Drosophila melanogaster: one gene and its partner. The protein of the gene in region 2 interacts with the protein of the main gene of each other region in a pairwise test. Each region holds a gene or a part of one and is shown on either strand. Other genes may lie near its edges.

Region 1 (10,368 bases), on a different chromosome or scaffold from region 2:
AAAATGAAAACAAATCCCCACAAAAAATGAAAATAAAACAACGGCCGCAGTGGAAGAGAAAAGCTTAAAATGCAAAGCGCATTCAACGCTAGAATATAAATGTATGTGTGAGCACACGTGTGCAAATGCAACGGTACATTTCTGTGTGTTAGTTCTCTGGCATATGCTGGCCGGCATTTGTTATTTGTTTGTGTGTATGGCCGCTCCTTCGTTATGTGTGTGTATTGGTTGGCGGTGAAGTTTAACGGTTTCCCTTTTGCCGTTACTGTGGCAACCGGAAAATGCTCGAGGCGTTGCCAGCCTTAAAAGTGGCTAGTTAAAAGCTTTCGCGACTCTGAAAGATGTGCTGCCTATTCTAGATTTCTAGAAAGCTTTCGTCAAGCCGATTAAAAATATCCTTTAAAAATAAATTATTCACAAATAATTGTCTAATGACTGTAGGTTTTCTTATTTTTTCATATCTTTTAAAATATCATATTTAATAAACAAATTTAGCAACAAGTACACCTTCTGTTACTTTTAAAAGTTTTAAAAGAGCCATAGAGTTTTCTGTTCACTAAAAATAGGTAAATGCCTACTTTTTGATATTATAACTTATTTGTAGTAAGTCAATCGAAGGTCACTCCCTGGTCACGCAAACCTATTCAATCAACGATCGGTGATTAAATGCTTTGAACATTATGTAGATATAAATACCTAGAATAGCAACAGAAACTGCTATCTAATCTTTTCGTAATTGCTTCAAAAGCGATGTCCATTCAAATCCATAACTACTCACACACACCAAGCTAAAATTCCGCTCGGAAAAGCTGAACTAGAAATATTTGAAATCAAAGCGTGAACTAAGCTCAAATTTGCTGTTTGTTTTTAGTGACAACAGATTGACAATGCAAACATAAACAACGGCATGCGCTATAACAACACTATTAATAACCAAATACAAGGCGAGCAACCCTGATTCGGATCCCCATCCCGTTGCCCACCGGGCTTTCTTGCCCCAAAGCGTTGCCAATGTCAACCGTCACGAACACCCCAACAAGCCCACCCCCTGGAAACTCCATTCCATTGTCTTCGGCGTTTTCAATGCCGGCGCACATAAAAATTCCGGCTACGTTTACGGCGTGGACTACGCTTATAAACAAAGTTTGTTAATATTTCTTCGCCAACGGACGCGAAACTCGCCTCGCATCTCGCGCGTGAAAATCCATTTAGTTAAATGCTCGCAGGATGCGGAAATCACTTTCGAGATTCCAGAAATAGTACGGCATTTTAAAATCAATTTTCCAAACAGTTATTAAATGCTTGTCTATGGACAAATGGTTCGGAGAGAAACGTCTCTGGCTGTTTGGTAACCACCTTCCACTTTTGCCCAGAAGGTAAGTCGAACTTGGCATTGCATTGCATTGAATGGTAACAAAAAGTGCTATCCAAACATTTTTTCATTGTTTTGGCCTAAACTTGAACTTCAAGATTGGCGCGCAGATAGAGTGTTGCCCCTGATATTGTTTTGCTTAACGTCGGGCCTTGTGAATAACCAACCCTACAGTAAATAGTAATCATCGTATGAAAACATTGTGTGTCTCTAACTAACATTTAGATACCTTCTTTGAACGCCTTTGAAACTGACAGTTAAAAGCTACTCAACTTACACAAGATCTAACCAAGAAGCCACAGGACCAAAAAGGACAAAAACTCCAATCAAATTGAATTTCAATCAATGCGAGTATATGTGCACGGAAAAAAAGATGCAGAAGAACAAAAGCGAAAAGAGATGAAATCAAGTACAGAGACATCAAATTGCATTGAAATGCGTTCGGAGCTTGGATTTGTCTCCAACATCAACCCACTTACCATCCGAATTCTGACAGGCCAGACAAGCAGCTCTGAAGGAATATTGCATACTTATGGGAACGGATGATGTAGCGGTTTTTAATGCTTTTGATCCAAGCAGACGAAAACCCTATTTTCGGCAAATGTCAACGACACTTGCGTTTTGCTCGAAAGGAACAGAGGGAAATGTTTTTTTGCTGGAATACATATCTGACTGAAATAGAATAAGATATTGCCCATCAGACTGTAAGCAAATGATTGATACATAACACTTGTACTCGCACACTTGTTCATGAGAAGGTTTTTACAAGTCACATACTTTTCTTTGGTAATTATTGATAAGTTGTTTCAGGAGATGGATAGTTATATAATACAAGACAAGTTCATGATCATGACCCAGGACCCAAGGAGCGCAATTCATGCTGTTCTGGTAGCAATAACAATTTGATGTGTTTCATACATTTCCTAAGTTTATTTATGTGAAATTAGTAAGGGTTTTTTAAACTTTAATCAAGTTTATTCACATTGAATTGCCATGATCCCAAGATCTAAACGTTCATTGTGCTCAAAAAATGTTATAATGGGACTGCTTTGCTTATATCAGCACTTTTGGTGAATGGACTTTTCAACAGCCGCGAATTAGAATCGCGTTTTCGGTTTGCCAGCAGGATACTTACATTTGTTTGGCGCTTTCATGGCATTTGACAGTCGCTCTCATTCCCACAGTGGATGCCAAAACTCACAGGTGCCCGCCTCACCTTACATAATTGAATCCCCGCAAGCCGTTTTTTTCCCTCCAGCTTGCACCACTGATTTCGTGTGCCTCGCTGTGGCATGTGGCAAACTCTGCCTCATTCGCCTGCCGTCGCAACTCTCACTTCTCGCATTATGCGCCTGACTCATTTGCATGTTCCTTTGGCTTCCCCCGGCCGCATTTTTTCTGACCCAAAAAAATCTTAAACAATATGGAAAAGCATTGCCGGCACGAGACACGTCAGAAACAGAGCCGGTTTTTTGCACCTGTTTGAGAAGGAATGTCGCTCCATGCATAAAGTATTCATGATGTCCGTTGCATTTGAAATCATGTATCGATAAAATAAATAGACGAGAGACCGTCGAAGTGCAACTTAGTTATCCTGAGACCCTGCAGCCGTACGAACGCCTGGCGACGTGCAATGTTTCACAGCTCATCGTTCTACTTGCCGCAATCGTTACAGAACTCCTTCCTCTACCGCCTCATTCAGAAGATCCAGGTGTGCAATGAGCCGGACTTAGTTGAGACCAGGCAGTACAGGTGGGTCGATTAGCGCCGTTCGTGGCCCTAATTAGCTTTACCAACTTTTTGCGGAATGAAAGTGAAATGCAGTGCTAAAACGGGCAGAAAGGATAAACTTTTCCCAATGACATTTGAGTCGCTGCTGGTGGAGGTGGTGTTGCAACGGCCTTGGCCTTTCATTTCACACGCATATGCCTGCTTCGTCCTCCAAGCGCTTCAGCTCTGCTATCCCCGTAAGTAGGCAACGCTTTTTGCACAGACCTCGCACAAAGTTTGGGACACTCGGTGCGTGTGTGAGCATTTGGCATTAATGGCTTGTTATTTATTGCATTTTACGCTTGTTTTCCCAAAGGCCACGTCAACACAACCCTTACCAACAACCCGCAATATTTATATGGCCAAAAGGTTCAGGGACTTTACAAGGCGATGTTAGAGGTTTTGCTAAAAAACTTTACTTACTTGACATATTATTGCTATTTTAGCAAGTACAGACACTTGAAATAAACCCACAAGGCAGTACGAATATTAAACATCTAAAAATGTGTGGTTTCTCTAAAAATAAAGACCATTCAGTCTGACTTCAGTAAGCTAAACTCGTATAAGTAAATTTCAATTTTAAGTATCTATTTTAAAGGCCAGCTAAATGTTCCTTTTTCTTAAATAGAAGTGCTTTAATTCTCCTCTCATTCTTATATAATACCCATTACTAAATAAACTTTAGCGCTGCTATATCACACAAATACCGGGGGTCAGTATCAGAATGGTAAATAAACGAAGAGCCATTAAGCTGGGAAGCATTGACCCCAACATTGAGTGCAAACATCATGACAACGACATGAACAAATAATTGCTATGCGCAAACAACTACATAGAACAATAAATACAAAAATATAATTAAAAGCCACAAGAGCCTAGAATAAAGGTAAAATCAAAGTGGGAAAGGTTAAAGTGCTTTCGCGGAAAACAAAAGCTGTCAAATGTATAAGGCAAGCAGATGGTGTTTAAGTTGGAACGGGGTCGACGGGAGTTCTCAGTAATTATGCAAATCAGAAATCAGTGGGGTGCTGTCACTATACTTTCATACACTTCTTAAAGGTAAATTTCAAGGAAATTAGTTACCTAATACACCACACCGGTCAAAGAATTCGTTTTATATACATATACCTTACATATTGCTTATACAGTATGCGTGATTATGGTTCCTAATTTATGTTCGACGCTCACCTTCGTGTTTTTCCACTGCACTTAAATGCATTATTAATGAAACACGCAAGACCAAAACAAACAAAAACATAGGAATCAAAGTCGCCATTGGCCAACGCGGCGTATGTGCGATGTCCGCTGATGCAACCGAGCTGCTACCAACTCCGTCGCTCTCCAAACTCGTTTCTAGCCAAAAGCACCTCAGTCGATTGCCGGCTCTTAACGTCTTCACATCGTGTAGTTCTGCCAAAAAGTTATAGGGCTCTTTGTTTGGCCCAAGTGAAGGAAACACGGAAACAAACCAAATATAGACAAAAGGTGAACTGGAAAAAATTCGATACTGCAATGAAAATGTTTGAGATTTCTAAATTGTTTTCCCTACGAAGGTATGAGCAAAAAAAAAAAAATAAACAAAATTAAAAAAAAAAATTAACATTTATTATTAACATCATAACTTATCTTATTTGCCTGTGAACTGTGAAAGTTTTAAAGTTTGGACAGCTTCGAAAAGCAAACACAATAAGTGACCCCTGGCAAGCAAATTAGCTGCACAGCAATACTTAAGTTATTCAGCCAGGAAAAGCCATCCCTAATACTGTTATAATTGCACAGCGATTCAAACATTAATTAGTAATAAGGACCCCAAATAGAATCCACCCCCGAAGCGCCCACGTAGCGCGTAGTTACGACAAACTTATTGCACTGCTGCACCAGTTTAGCTATATGGAATCCTCCAGCAATCTGTGTCAAAGAACCCGGTTCATAAGCGACTCCCCTGCCTTCTCCTTAGACAGACGACTCCAGCAGGTAACCTCAAAATGTGTAGTGGGAAAGGAGCTGGGAAAGCTGGGAAAGAAGCACACCTTGAATGTCTTCCGGTAGTCGCTAGAAAAAACAACAAAGGGGAGAAACTTCTTGAACAACTTTGGGGGCAACTGCGCATGGATTTGGTTTTGTTGTGGTTTTTTGCTTTGTTAACTTTGGTCGCATTGCTATGACATTGGCCAGTGGGGTGGAGTCGACCTGGTCGACATGGGGCACAGGTCGGCTCTAGCGTTTCCCCCATTCGGTGCTCAGTTGTCAGACAAAACATACGTCCGCTCAAGCGGTCTACCCATTCAAATATTTATTGATCGACAGGCTTGGCGGAATATTCGGCGCATGGTGTGTATCGTAGACTTCCCCCAAAAGACTTTAATCAAATACATATATATATATATATATATGTCCTATTCATTCACAATTCAATTACTAACTCTAGTGGCAAATACGTCAGATATTAGCCAGATGGGTGCCTAGGTAAGTCATCTGCTTGCTACGTTTTCGGTGTCCTGTGTTGCTTTCATTTATTTGTGCCACCAACCAGCACCACCATCATAAGCACACAAATATTTAATTGCATGCCATGTTTATGACCCACACACATGTTAGCAAAAGATGCAGAAAGGCCCAAGCAGGGTTCAGTTACCCCGTTTAAGGTTTTGTGGCTGGCATTGAACTGTCAACCCGTGAAGTCCTCGACCAGACCGGTAATGCCAATTTCAAAGGAGCACGCTCTCGAACACCTGGGGCTACAAAATCGATTTAGTTTTCGTGTTCACGCTAGAAAGTTAATTACCCTCGGTTTCTAATCTAATACTAATGGTACAATTCTGAATGAACAGAATAAGTTATTTTAATCTTATTTTCACTTAAACTGTGTAAAAATGTTAGAATTCATTAGTCCATACACTCAAATCAATGACAATTCCACATAGGGTTATGTTTACTTGGGTCAAAAAAATCGATTTAGTTCTCGTGCTTATAAATGGCAGAGTAGTAATGATTAGGTTGTGTATCTAATGGCAATTGAATGTTTACAATATCGATTTATTTGATTAGCTATAATAGCTGCATTTAGATTGGAAAAAGTTAGCAGGAAGAAGTTTATATTGATGTACTTCGGCACATTTTAATTTATTATTATTACATTTTATTTAACAGTTCCTTTGGCCCACCAAAATTAACGTTTAAACCAAATAACTCATTCTAAAAGTTCTCTCATTTGTTGTTTGTTTCATTCCATCGAAATCGACTAACCAAATCATACCGAATTCGTGAAACCAAACCTCCAAAATGTTCTGGACATCCCCAAAAAAAAACCAAACCTATTCAATATAATAACTTGTACATATATGCATACACATCAAATCGTAAGACAGCCCTTGAAATAATACCAGATCGAATATCAAATCACTTCATACTCGCTCGCATATCCTAGAATGCAAGTTCGCCCCTGTGAGTCCACATGTGTTCGTGTCTGAGGTATCAAACAGAAAAATTCTTGAACATTTTGTGTGCCCAATGCAAAGCAATGCGACGTGCAAACATCAAACGTGGTCAATGTTTGAGCTTAAGGTAAAATCCACTCCAAACTCAAACTGAACGTTAGCCGCAATCGGGGTGGGAATTCCGGAATAACTCATACCTGTTAACTTCCTTGCAGACCACAAGGTAGCAGCAAAATGGATCGCTATGAGAAGCTCAGTCGGCTGGGCGAGGGCTCCTACGGTGTGGTCTACAAGTGCCGGGATCGGGAAACGGGTGCTCTGGTGGCGGTCAAGAGGTTTGTGGAGTCCGAGGATGATCCAGCGATTCGTAAAATTGCACTGCGAGAAATTAGGCTACTGAAGGTAAGCCTTAATAACTTAAATCACTTGAATCACTTAATCACTCGAAATTTCCTGCAGAACCTGAAGCATCCGAACCTTGTCTCCCTGCTAGAAGTGTTCCGACGGAAGCGACGCCTCCATCTGGTCTTCGAGTTCTGCGAGCTGACCGTGCTGCACGAACTGGAGCGGCATCCACAGGGCTGCCCGGAGCACCTGACCAAACAGATCTGCTACCAGACCCTGCTGGGCGTGGCCTACTGCCACAAGCAGGGCTGCCTACACCGCGACATCAAGCCGGAGAACATTCTGCTGACGGCCCAGGGTCAGGTGAAGCTGTGTGACTTCGGCTTCGCCCGGATGCTCAGTCCGGGCGAGAATTACACGGACTACGTGGCCACCAGATGGTACCGGGCGCCGGAGCTGCTGGTGGGCGACACTCAGTACGGCACTCCGGTGGACGTCTGGGCCATCGGTTGCCTCTTCGCCGAGCTGGTCCGGGGCGAGGCCCTCTGGCCAGGACGTAGCGATGTGGATCAGCTCTATCTGATCCGCAAGACGCTCGGCGACCTGCTGCCGCGCCACATCCAGATCTTTGGACAGAACGAGTACTTTAAGGGCATCACGCTGCCAGTGCCGCCGACGCTGGAGCCGCTGGAGGACAAGATGCCGGCCAAGTCGCAGCAGAATCCCCTGACCATTGACTTTCTCAAGAAGTGCCTGGACAAGGATCCGACCAAGCGCTGGTCCTGCGAGAAGCTCACAAAGCACTCCTACTTCGATGACTACATCGCTAAGCAGCGCGAACTGGAGCACGTCAACAGCCTGGAGGCGGCCAATCTCCGCCAGCAGCAGCTCGCCTCCCAGCAGTTCATGCTGGCCACGGCGGCCCAGCAGCTCCAGACGGGTCCTGCTCAGGCGGCGGCCATCGCGGCGGCCCGGGATAAATCAAAGGTGCGTACGGCAGTCCTCTCAGAGGATAATTCAATCTATTAGTATATCCTTTCGATTACAGACTTCAAACACATCACTACCGCTGCTGCCTAGCACGCAGCATCATCATCACCCGCATCAAGATTACGTGAAGCTGCAGCCCCTGAACAAGAATGCAAACCTGCTACATCGCACCGAGCATCATCTGCCCACAATTTGAGTTTGAGCAGAGAATTTGTAACGAAGTAATGTCCTTGAGCGAGAATTGAGCCCGAAATTTAACTTATTTACTGCTGGGAATAAATGTGTAAAAGTAATCCATTAATATATCACTGGGTGGAACGTTCGTAAACACTTGGCAACTCATCCCTTCGGGCCGAACTGAATTAGTAACTAAGTCTAAAGTGCAATTTTCAGCTGTCATCAAATAAAATGTGCTACATAATGTTTTATTCCATAAATTTTCAATTCCGTTAGTCCATGAGATTCGCAAATCACTCCAGGTTAATCTTTAATTCACTTTCCAGTTGCGTCCTGGCTCGAATCCTTTTCAGCCTTGCACACACACGTACATCGAATTAAAAATCCTTGCAGCATGTCGACTAGTCAAACGGTTACATTCCACCTCCAACTCTCACCTACTTGTTGAGCCTGGTCTGGATTACACATTTTTACATCTATTTAACCAGGAGCGGATTGGGAACAGCGGAGCCCTTTTAATAGAACATTTATAATTATATAATGTTATAAGTTCGTTTACTTTATATTTGATTCAATAAGGTCTGTTTTGCAGTCCTTTGATATATATACATGAACTGCTTGATACCCTCTTTTGAGGCTCCGCTCCTGAAGTATTTCATCGTCGACAGATATCGCCTCCTGGCGTCCATACCACGTTTTTTGGCAGCTTAATCCAGTGCTAAGCACACGGCAGATAATCAGCGACACGTATCGGCTTTCGTGTATCCTAGTCGTGTCCCAAGGACTTTGTTGATGTCCTTCAAGAAGCGTCAGAGAAACGTGTGCCCCAAAGGATGGTGATGAAAGGATTAGTGAAGCTTATAGCGCGCTGAGACTATTCTAAGGCGAAGCAAGGGCAGCAAAGAAAAAATAATACTAATGTTTGCAACAATATCATGAGTTGAAGCATCGAATTTCAGGCACTATTAGCTTATATCAGCTAATATTTGGAATTGCCCAGTTTTCAGTATTTTTCAGCAGAATGCAATATTTTCCCAAAAACTTTTAATTAAATTATAGAAAAGTTGTGAGAACAGAAGCTGCATTCCCACAGGCTTCAATGGCAGCAGTCAACAAAAGTGTCAACACATATCGCTGAAATCTCCTGGGCACCAGTCATGTCCATGTGGCCCGGATTTTTGTTGGCAGATGCTCAGCAGAGAAACGTTGAGAAAATAGAGGAGAAATTGAGAATATCATTGGATGCCAGCCGGGCATTCCTAGCATTATCCACTGCGACTCATGCTCCATTGCCAGCGTCACCAATTGTTAAGTATTTTGATTTTTGTCGTTTGGCCAACACAATAGAATGGTCCACCGAATATCTTCATCCCTGTCTGCAGCTTGCCTGCTCTTTCGGGCTTCTGCATCCTCCCCTTTTTTTTCCGGTCGCTGTGCACTTGGTTGGGAATGTAAAATGGGAAAAGCATTTGTAAGTCGAACCGGCCATTGAAGCATCCCGCTTCCTGGTCGAGGATATGCAAAGTGTCTCCCAGACAGAGTTGCATAATCTGTAGTGTCGTTTATGCAAAGTGCCCGCCAAAAGCCCAGGCAACAAAATCCAGGGAGATGGAAACTTTCATCTTGCTGGGTAGTCAAGGATATTGTTGGGATGGAGCTTGCTGAATTGCATAGCTCGGTAAAGTGTTGAGCAGGGGAATCGAAGACTTATCGAATAAGCAGATAGGGCTTTTTATATTCACGCTGTTTGCTTTGGGAATACAAGTTTCAAAATTGTGGTAAAAAAAATGTTCACAGAAGTTACAAAATTGTTTAACGTTTGTGATCGGATCTTATGTCTTACTAAGTTACTAAATAAATTTGAAAGTTTTCAAGTTTGATAAGACAGCTAAAAAGAGTTACAATTCGTTAGTTTTTATAGATTAACTAACACTTAACCATTCCTGTGATCAGTGATCAGTACCATCGATGCAACTGGTTCTCCGCGTAGCGTCGATTCAGCTCACTCTTGCGCTGAACATCGCCGCCCACACCGTTGAGTAGCTCGTTGGTGTGCCAGTTGCGGTAGACGGACGGATCCGGCTGGTGGTCATCACCGGTGCTCAGTGCCTGCAGCTGCCACCACTTCAGCGGTGGCTGCGGATAAGCTGCCTGCACCGGCAGGACGGACACCACCGGCGGCTGACGACGTGGCCACAGGCCCAGCTTGCTCAGTCGCTTCTCCTCGTCGATGTTTGTGTCGTGCATGTCGTGCATTCGCAGGACGTGGAGCGGCTT
Region 2 (7,464 bases):
CGCTTGCTGAATATTTGTGATGTGCCTGCTGAAGGTGAGCTTCCTATCGAGGGTAATACCAAGGTATTTATAAGCCTGATGGTGTCTGATCAGTCTCCCATTCAGACTGACACCCGGACAGCTACCTGTTCGGTTGGCGAACGTCACATTGGCACACTTCTCAGCGTTGATGCGCACATTCCAGTTCTCAGCCCATTGCTGGAATGCATCCAGGTATTCCTGTAGACCAGAAGTGGCAGCCAGGATACTTTTACTTTTCGTGAGCACAGCAGTATCGTCAGCGTAGGTGGCTATGAGCACATCTTCTTCGTCTACCTCTGTGACTGGTGTGTGAGTAGGCATGTCCGAAGCAAAAACTGAGTATAGGGTTGGGCCAAGAACGCTTCCTTGAGGAACTCCAGCTGCAATTGGCTTGATTGATGATTTGTACCCATCAACAGAGACGTGGAATGTGCGTTCTTCCAGGAAACTTTTAACAACCAAATATAGCTGCGGCGGGAACAGCCTCTTCGCTTTGTACAGGAGCCCAGGGTGCCAGACTCTGTCAAATGCCTGTTGAATATCAAGAAAGGCACCTACTGCATACTCCTTGTTTTCCATAGCTTCCAGAGCAAAGTTCACTACTCTATGTAGTTGCTCAGGAGTACCGTGCTGCAACCGGAAGCCAAACTGAAATTTGGGAATCGCTTTGGTAACATCCTTGCATGTGAGCAGCCTGTTTAGGATCAGCCTCTCCATAATTTTACCCAGAGATGGGAGTAAGCTGATGGGCCTGTACGAGTCAACGTCTGTCGGTGTTTTTCCAGTCTTATGGATCATAATTATGCTCGCCGATTTCCAAGCTTTCGGAAAGTAGCCAACATCAAGAACGCTGTTGAATATTAAGACAAGGAACTGCAATGCTTGATCTGGGAGAAGTCTAATGGTTCTATTATCAAGAAGATCTTCTCCAGGAGCTTTCTTAAGTGGCAGCTTGGCTATTAAATTCTTCACTTCTTCCAGTGTGACAGCACTCGGAGGCAGGCTCATTTGAAAGGGCGATTCCAAGTATCCATGTGTGTGCGTCTGTGGCTTTCGTTCTTAAAATGGGAGGTAAAATATTTGAAATTTATTGCCGTTGCCTTTGATTCAATGCACACATTTATTAATTTATCATTCCATGAGCCGGAGCTCAGGCTCTAAATAAATCAAAGGCTTGAGATGGAAAAGATTTAAATGAATTGGCCGAACAAATGGCCAATAAGTTTTGGCATATCGATTGAATGTCGGCCTACAGAATGCATGCAAATTAATGCAGTATTTTGTGCTGAGCAAAACCATTCGAACCGACTTGATTGCACAAACCACAGACCAACGAGCACACCCCAAAGTGCCATAATGTCAATGCCCGCCCTAGGGCGCCACAACTCGGTGACAATTGACATTGGCAGTGACAGTGACTGTGACAGTGGCGAACGGAGAAATTCAATGAAAATTAATAAGTTGAATTAACAGATTCACGCCGCGAGCAGCCATCGAAATCCAATCCGCCGCACACGCCAAGTGGGAATTTAATGGCTCAGTGCCCTCAATGCCAAATGAGTGAGTGACTGGTCATCCTGTCCGTCCTGACATCCATCATTAAGGTCCTGCCCATCTCAACTCGACTCGCTGAGCTGGCTCAGCTGGCTGAGCCTGGATGCCGTCTGCTAGCCAGCATTCAATTCGATTACCTGCAAGCGAACACTTTATTTCCGAAAGGCTAACTTCATTGACCGTACATATCCTGCTGTGTGACTCATAACATGATGACTAAACCCAGCCATTCACTTGAGGGGAATGTCAGAGAGCGAAATTGCATTGACCTCCTTTAAAAACCCTTCAAACGCAATTTTAGTTGAATTAAAAATGAACGTATAAAGTTACTTAAATAGGTGTCTAAACGTATGCAGTTTAAATAGAATGCTGAGTATTTCCATTCACATATTTGTGAACTTTCGACTCGAAAGTTAGAATTTTTTCCAATATTTTTCCCTTTTCGGGCTAGAAAGTTTTCACTGCGCTGACCGTTTTACACTTGCTTTTAGCCCTAATTTCCTGTATGACTCGATGGTTTCGCCCCCCTTTCTCAGCCAGAAAACTTCAATGGAGCGAGAATGGAATGTGTGGGAGCTGCACAAATTACAATTTGAGCCAGGGCTCCTTCTCGGGGAGAAGGGGAGCCACATAAACCAATCTCCGCCCCTGTTCTTTGCCAAGCGATTTCGCTGCAATCTACATCGCCAGTAGAATGCTGCTCCTCCTTCGGCCGCAAAACTGACAGCAATCAGCTTTGCTGTGGATAAAGTTTTATGCCGAGAAACTCATTTAGTTTGCAATTAATTAGTGGCAGCCGGCAGAGCAGAGTTGAATTTGTGTTTTTAATTTGACTAAATAGATGCACCACTACCGAACGTTGGAGAGCTTGCACAACACGGCGAATGGTGGTGGGGCGTGGTGAGTGGGGCGTGCAGGATGGGGGCGTGACGAAGTAGCATAGTTCTGACTGAGTTTTTCGCTAGGCGTGAAATGTAAATGCTTGACCCAATTGGCAGGGGGCGTCTAAAGGGAAACACAACGAAAAACAACCAACCGCCGACAACAAAATCATTTAAAATGTTTTCCAACCGGGGAAACGGCGAGCGCTAAAACTTTTTCTACGGCGCTTTTGGCGAAGACAACTTGAACACAATTTGATAACCTACATTTGGGGGTCTTGGTAACATTAAAAATTTACACATGACGGCGTGGCCGGGGCGTTGGGGGTTTTGGCCTTACTCGCAGTGCAAAAGTGGAACGGAGTGTTTTCTCAGCGTCCTTGAGCTCTTGTTTTTTATTTGGTATTAAGAGCATGTCAAGTGAGTCTGGCGAACACAGAGGCTGAGGCAGCATGGCTAAGTGAGTTTTCGTTGTTGCTCCTTGTCACAGGAAACGGATGTGTGTGTGTGTGTGTGTGTGTGTGTGCGTGGTTTGGCTTGAAGCGAGAGGGGAAATTGTGGCGGGGGAGGGGGCTGGAGTAGACCGTCCCCGGAGGTGGGTAGCAAAAGTCTTTAAGTCTTTCGGCTTAATAGCTTTCAGTTTGCGACTTTCCTGGTCACAGCCCGACCCGATTCTGGTTGCTTACCCCTTCTATTGTCCCAAATCCCCATCATCATTTCAACCCCCTTCCTGGGTGCCGTGAGTTATTGTCGTGCGATTTATTACGCGACGCACTGTTGGTAGCCTTTGCTGCCTTCGGAGGGGGCCCACATGGCGTATGCGTAACGTATGGTCGTGGTAAAAACTCACGTAATATGCAACATTTACCGCCCGCGGTTCTCCGCCGGTTCCTTTTGATTTATTCAGCCAGGTGGCATACTTTTGACCCATATGGCTTTGATTTCTTGAAAAACTCAAAACCACCAAACATACCACTACCAAGTTAAAGTTATTACTAAAAGTGCAGTCACAGCTCCTTTGATATATGTCAGAAGTAAGCCTATTTCGTTTACGAAATGGTTTCTGCATTTTCTCTCTGTGCAGGTAAATATGATTTTCGTGTCTGGCAGCAATTACTGATGTTGTCATTAGTAAGAACACCACTCGGAAATTAATAAAGATTTGCACAGGCGCAAATCGGTTTAAAAATGCGTGCAAACACTTTGATTATTCATTCACAAAACCCAAGCGGCCCGAAATTCCCAAATGAGATAGTGCGTAATTCGCGACTGACACAGATTTTTCCCTATTTGGCTGTTCGCTGGTTTTCCTTTATATTTGCGCACAGAAACAACAACAAACAGAGTGACACACAAGTTCCAAAAAATTTCCCTACTCCACGCACACTCGCACAAATATTGACCGAATTTTACTGGCGGTGGTTTTTCCCCCCCAAAAATTCGATTGTTCTCCGCAGTGTTTTTCTTGTTTTCGGCGATGCTGTGTCTGTCTGTTTGTTTTCGAAAAATTTACCTCGGATTCTGACTGAAAAAACAAGAAGGCCACATACCACGTGGCCAACAGTTGAAGTCAATGTTGGTTCTTTTATTTTCGTTTTTTTTTTATTTGGTTTTTCTGGCTTTCTAATTTGTTAGACACGCTTTGGTTGAAAGTTTTTTCGGCTATGCTCTTGTTGATTTTGATTGAAACACACACGCACACCAGCACACACTCTCCGCGAAGAGAGCAGGACAGAAAGAGAGAACGAGAGCGAGACCGAAGGATATGTGGGGAATAATTCAATTCTGGCGCTTGGAACGTCTCACTGGGCGAATCACTCGAATGGCACTGAGCTCGAGTCCTTGGCATTTGGCCCGAGTGCCGTTTTGGCGGCGTCCATGTGACGTCACGAAAGCTTAGGCACAGCGAGATGGGAAAAAGGATACAAGAGCGCCCATGCGCATTGGCGAAAGCTCGCAATCGCTGGAGAAATAGCCACCAGGGATCTCTCGAAAACCCGACCTAGCCTTGCCTTGGACAAGTGTTTGTTTACGTTTTCCATCCGAACGTCCCGCAAGAATCCTTTCGAATCCTTGTTGCTCCTCCGCTCCCAAAAACGAAGGTCAAGCTCTGGCTCTGAATCGCAACGACACCACCTCCGTTTTCAATTAATCAGCAATATAAATTGTACTTTGTTTGGACGCCACAATACATTTTCCCCGCAATTTAACTTGGACGAAACAATTTACAGACTGTGTGGTTGGGCCACACAGCCCGATTTTACTCTAATGAAATATCTCAAGACCAAAAATGTCAGTGGTTGCAACTGTTTGCGACAGGCGGGGAGTTACTATTTCAAAATATGAAAAGCCTCAAAACAATAAATGAGGATGAAGTGGGTAAATGTGGGGATGTTGCGCACTTTGAGGTTGCCAACGACAACTGCAGTCTGCATGCTTTCCTACTAATTGTAAAACAATCTGACTGTACACTATCATTTGCGGCAAAAATTGACAAAGGAATCGAAAGTATGTGAGTATTGCACTCAAAGCTGAACATGTATAATATGATCCCGACAGCAAATGCTCAAATTATTGTGAAAAGATTTAATGAACACGTGCAAAATATTTCAGCCAAAGAAATCGCATCGCCTCATCTATGAAAATTGATATTATTGTTCTCTCAATGTGATTGTAACGAAAATGGCATTTTCATTTAAAGTCTAAATGGTTTAATTGAGTTTGAAAGGGCTTAACAATTCTGACAGCTGTGATAAAAGTGGCTTTCTGATTCAGCTTTGCAGTTACATTTAACTGGAAACATTGATTCATAACTGAGTTTCATATTAAAGTGTTATTTTTTTGCCTCTTCTGCAATCCTTTCAATTACTACCTTTCGATTGGCTTGATAAACAAACCTATTTTCCCGCATCGCAACTATGCAATTCAAAGCGGAATCGATTGCCATATCAACGCGTAAGGGTGGAGTAATCCGAATGAGAGCCATTGCAGTGCATTATCCTGAGCTCACAGGACTTGAACCGGATAAATCCCTTTACCGCTCCGTGCCAGAGAGTGTAGTGTCATTCATAAGCACAAGTGGCAGACGTGACTAGCCGCAGCCACGTAGAGGGCTTTGCACCTGACTGAATCGGTCCGATATATCCTATATACATCCTCCTGCCATACCCCTCCCACCCTTCGAACCCTTCGCATCCGCAAACTCATGGACACGGCCACTGTTTGTCTTTATTTTGACTGACAATCATTGTGGTTGCCATCTGTCTGCCTGCGGAAATGTGAAGTGCAGCCATGAGATAACCGCCATCATCTGATGCTAATAAAATGTTATCAAATGAATGTCAAGCGGCTGCTGAGCCCATCCTGCTGCCTTTTTTGTGGCTCTCCTGGCAGACGCCGCCATCGGTGCCAGGATATGTGTATCTGATATCCCGAACAATGGCGGCAGAACAAACGCACACACGGAGGCGCATCGATTACGGTGCTAGTTCATTCAACTCGGCTCCTCCATCGGAAAAGGCCTAGGATATATGGCAAAACTCCGACTCCCTCGACAAAGTCAAGACAGAAGACTTCCCGCCGAGAAGAGGCGGCGGGAGCAGCACTATCTGCCACAGGTGACGCGTGAAAAATTCCACAAGCCATGGAAGCCGAAGGAAACGTCTCTGCCATGCAATTCTTCCCTTTTGTCGTAACTCAACTGCCATTGACAGCCAAGTGTCCCACTGACAGTCGCCGCCCCCAGCAACCCTCCATTTACCCGCTTTTCCATTTCCCCTTGCCCACTTTTCCAACCTGCCGCCTGCAGAGCTGCGGAAAATCAACTACGACGACCTCAACCTTAAGAATTGAGCCAGATGCAGTGAGAGAAGAATCTAAGATTGCATTAGGAGCAACTAAATTTCTACTGGCATCGTTATAATATGATATCAAGATCTAAGCGTGGGGGCTTTCAACATATCATAGCAAATTCCAGACATTTTGAATGCATCTACATGTTGGTGTAAAGATAATGTTCCATACTACAGGACACCCTTACTTTTTTGAGGTGTATTACAAGTCCCGGCCAGCGTTTTGTCAAGCCAACCAATTGTGGGGACGGCATAGCCATTGTCACTGCCTGACATCCACTCCATCCCCACCTAAAAGGGGGGAGGACATGAGACGGGAGTGCTGCGAAAGAAATGGAGTTGCGGTGCCGCGTAGAATGGGGATGTTTATCAATGCCTTGCGCTTATCGCCGACAGCCGCCGCAGTCAGACAAGTGGAAAACTATACACGCCCAGAAAGCAGGAAAAAAATGGGAGTAGAAAATACATAAAACAGCCGGATGCGTTGGCTTGACAACTTATTTCAACATCTTGTTGTAACTGTTCGTTGTGCGCTTCCTATTTTCATTTATCGCAATAAACTTTTCCGCAGATGGCACTGCAAAAAGTTAGCAGATGGAAAGTGGAGAAGTGGAGGCAGTGGGCTGCTGTGGGTGGGAGTCGTCGCCAAAGTTTTCCCAATACTTTTTGAAGCCTTTGTTGCTGCACGGCCATTGTGTGTGCATATGAGCAAATATCTCATTGCAAAATATTTGCGTGTACTTCTTATACAATTCTTGTTATTGAATTCGATCAGAGTTCAAGGATGGCCAGATGCGAATATGCCAAATTGAAAATGCATTGAATTTTAAGCCGATTGGGGTCCAAAGAAACCACTCAACCTAAATCAGCTTACAGATGCATTGATTACCTCAATTAAGATTCCAGCCCTGGCTGGACAGTAATGAATCGAATTAGTATGTAAATGTCCAGAGATAGAGAGTGGATGGTCAGGGCAGCAATTTCGCAATTTCGCTAGGATTGTGCTTTACACTATTTCCTTCTTTTATACCCGTTACTCGTTGAGTACAAGGGTATGATCGATTTGTTGAAAAGCATGACATAGCAAAAATCTGACTATTAAAACCAATTTAATGGAAATGATAAGGCATTTCATTTCTTCTTTTTTATCTTTATCC

Evidence for each region. Proteins that work in one complex are often made in the same cells at the same time.
Region 1: the proteins of Liprin-gamma (region 2) and CG7236 interact in a two-hybrid assay, tested with the Drosophila melanogaster proteins (one large-scale study listed by BioGRID).

What each region holds. Positions count from the first base shown.
Region 1 is NT_033779.5:5,705,444-5,715,811, forward strand, and holds CG7236 (uncharacterized protein), read left to right. Parts: upstream 1-2,947; 5' UTR 2,948-3,005; coding exon 3,006-3,124; intron 3,125-4,506; exon of another isoform or gene 4,507-4,654; coding exon of another isoform or gene 4,655-4,695; intron 4,696-6,459; exon of another isoform or gene 6,460-6,596; coding exon of another isoform or gene 6,597-6,706; intron 6,707-6,794; coding exon 6,795-6,981; intron 6,982-7,038; coding exon 7,039-7,911; intron 7,912-7,972; coding exon 7,973-8,110; 3' UTR 8,111-8,348; downstream 8,349-10,368. Other genes in the region: CG14007 (uncharacterized protein), read right to left, coding at 10,048-10,368.
Region 2 is NT_033778.4:22,350,419-22,357,882, forward strand, and holds the start of Liprin-gamma (Liprin-gamma), read right to left. Parts: upstream 4,291-7,464; 5' UTR 3,970-4,290; intron 1-3,969.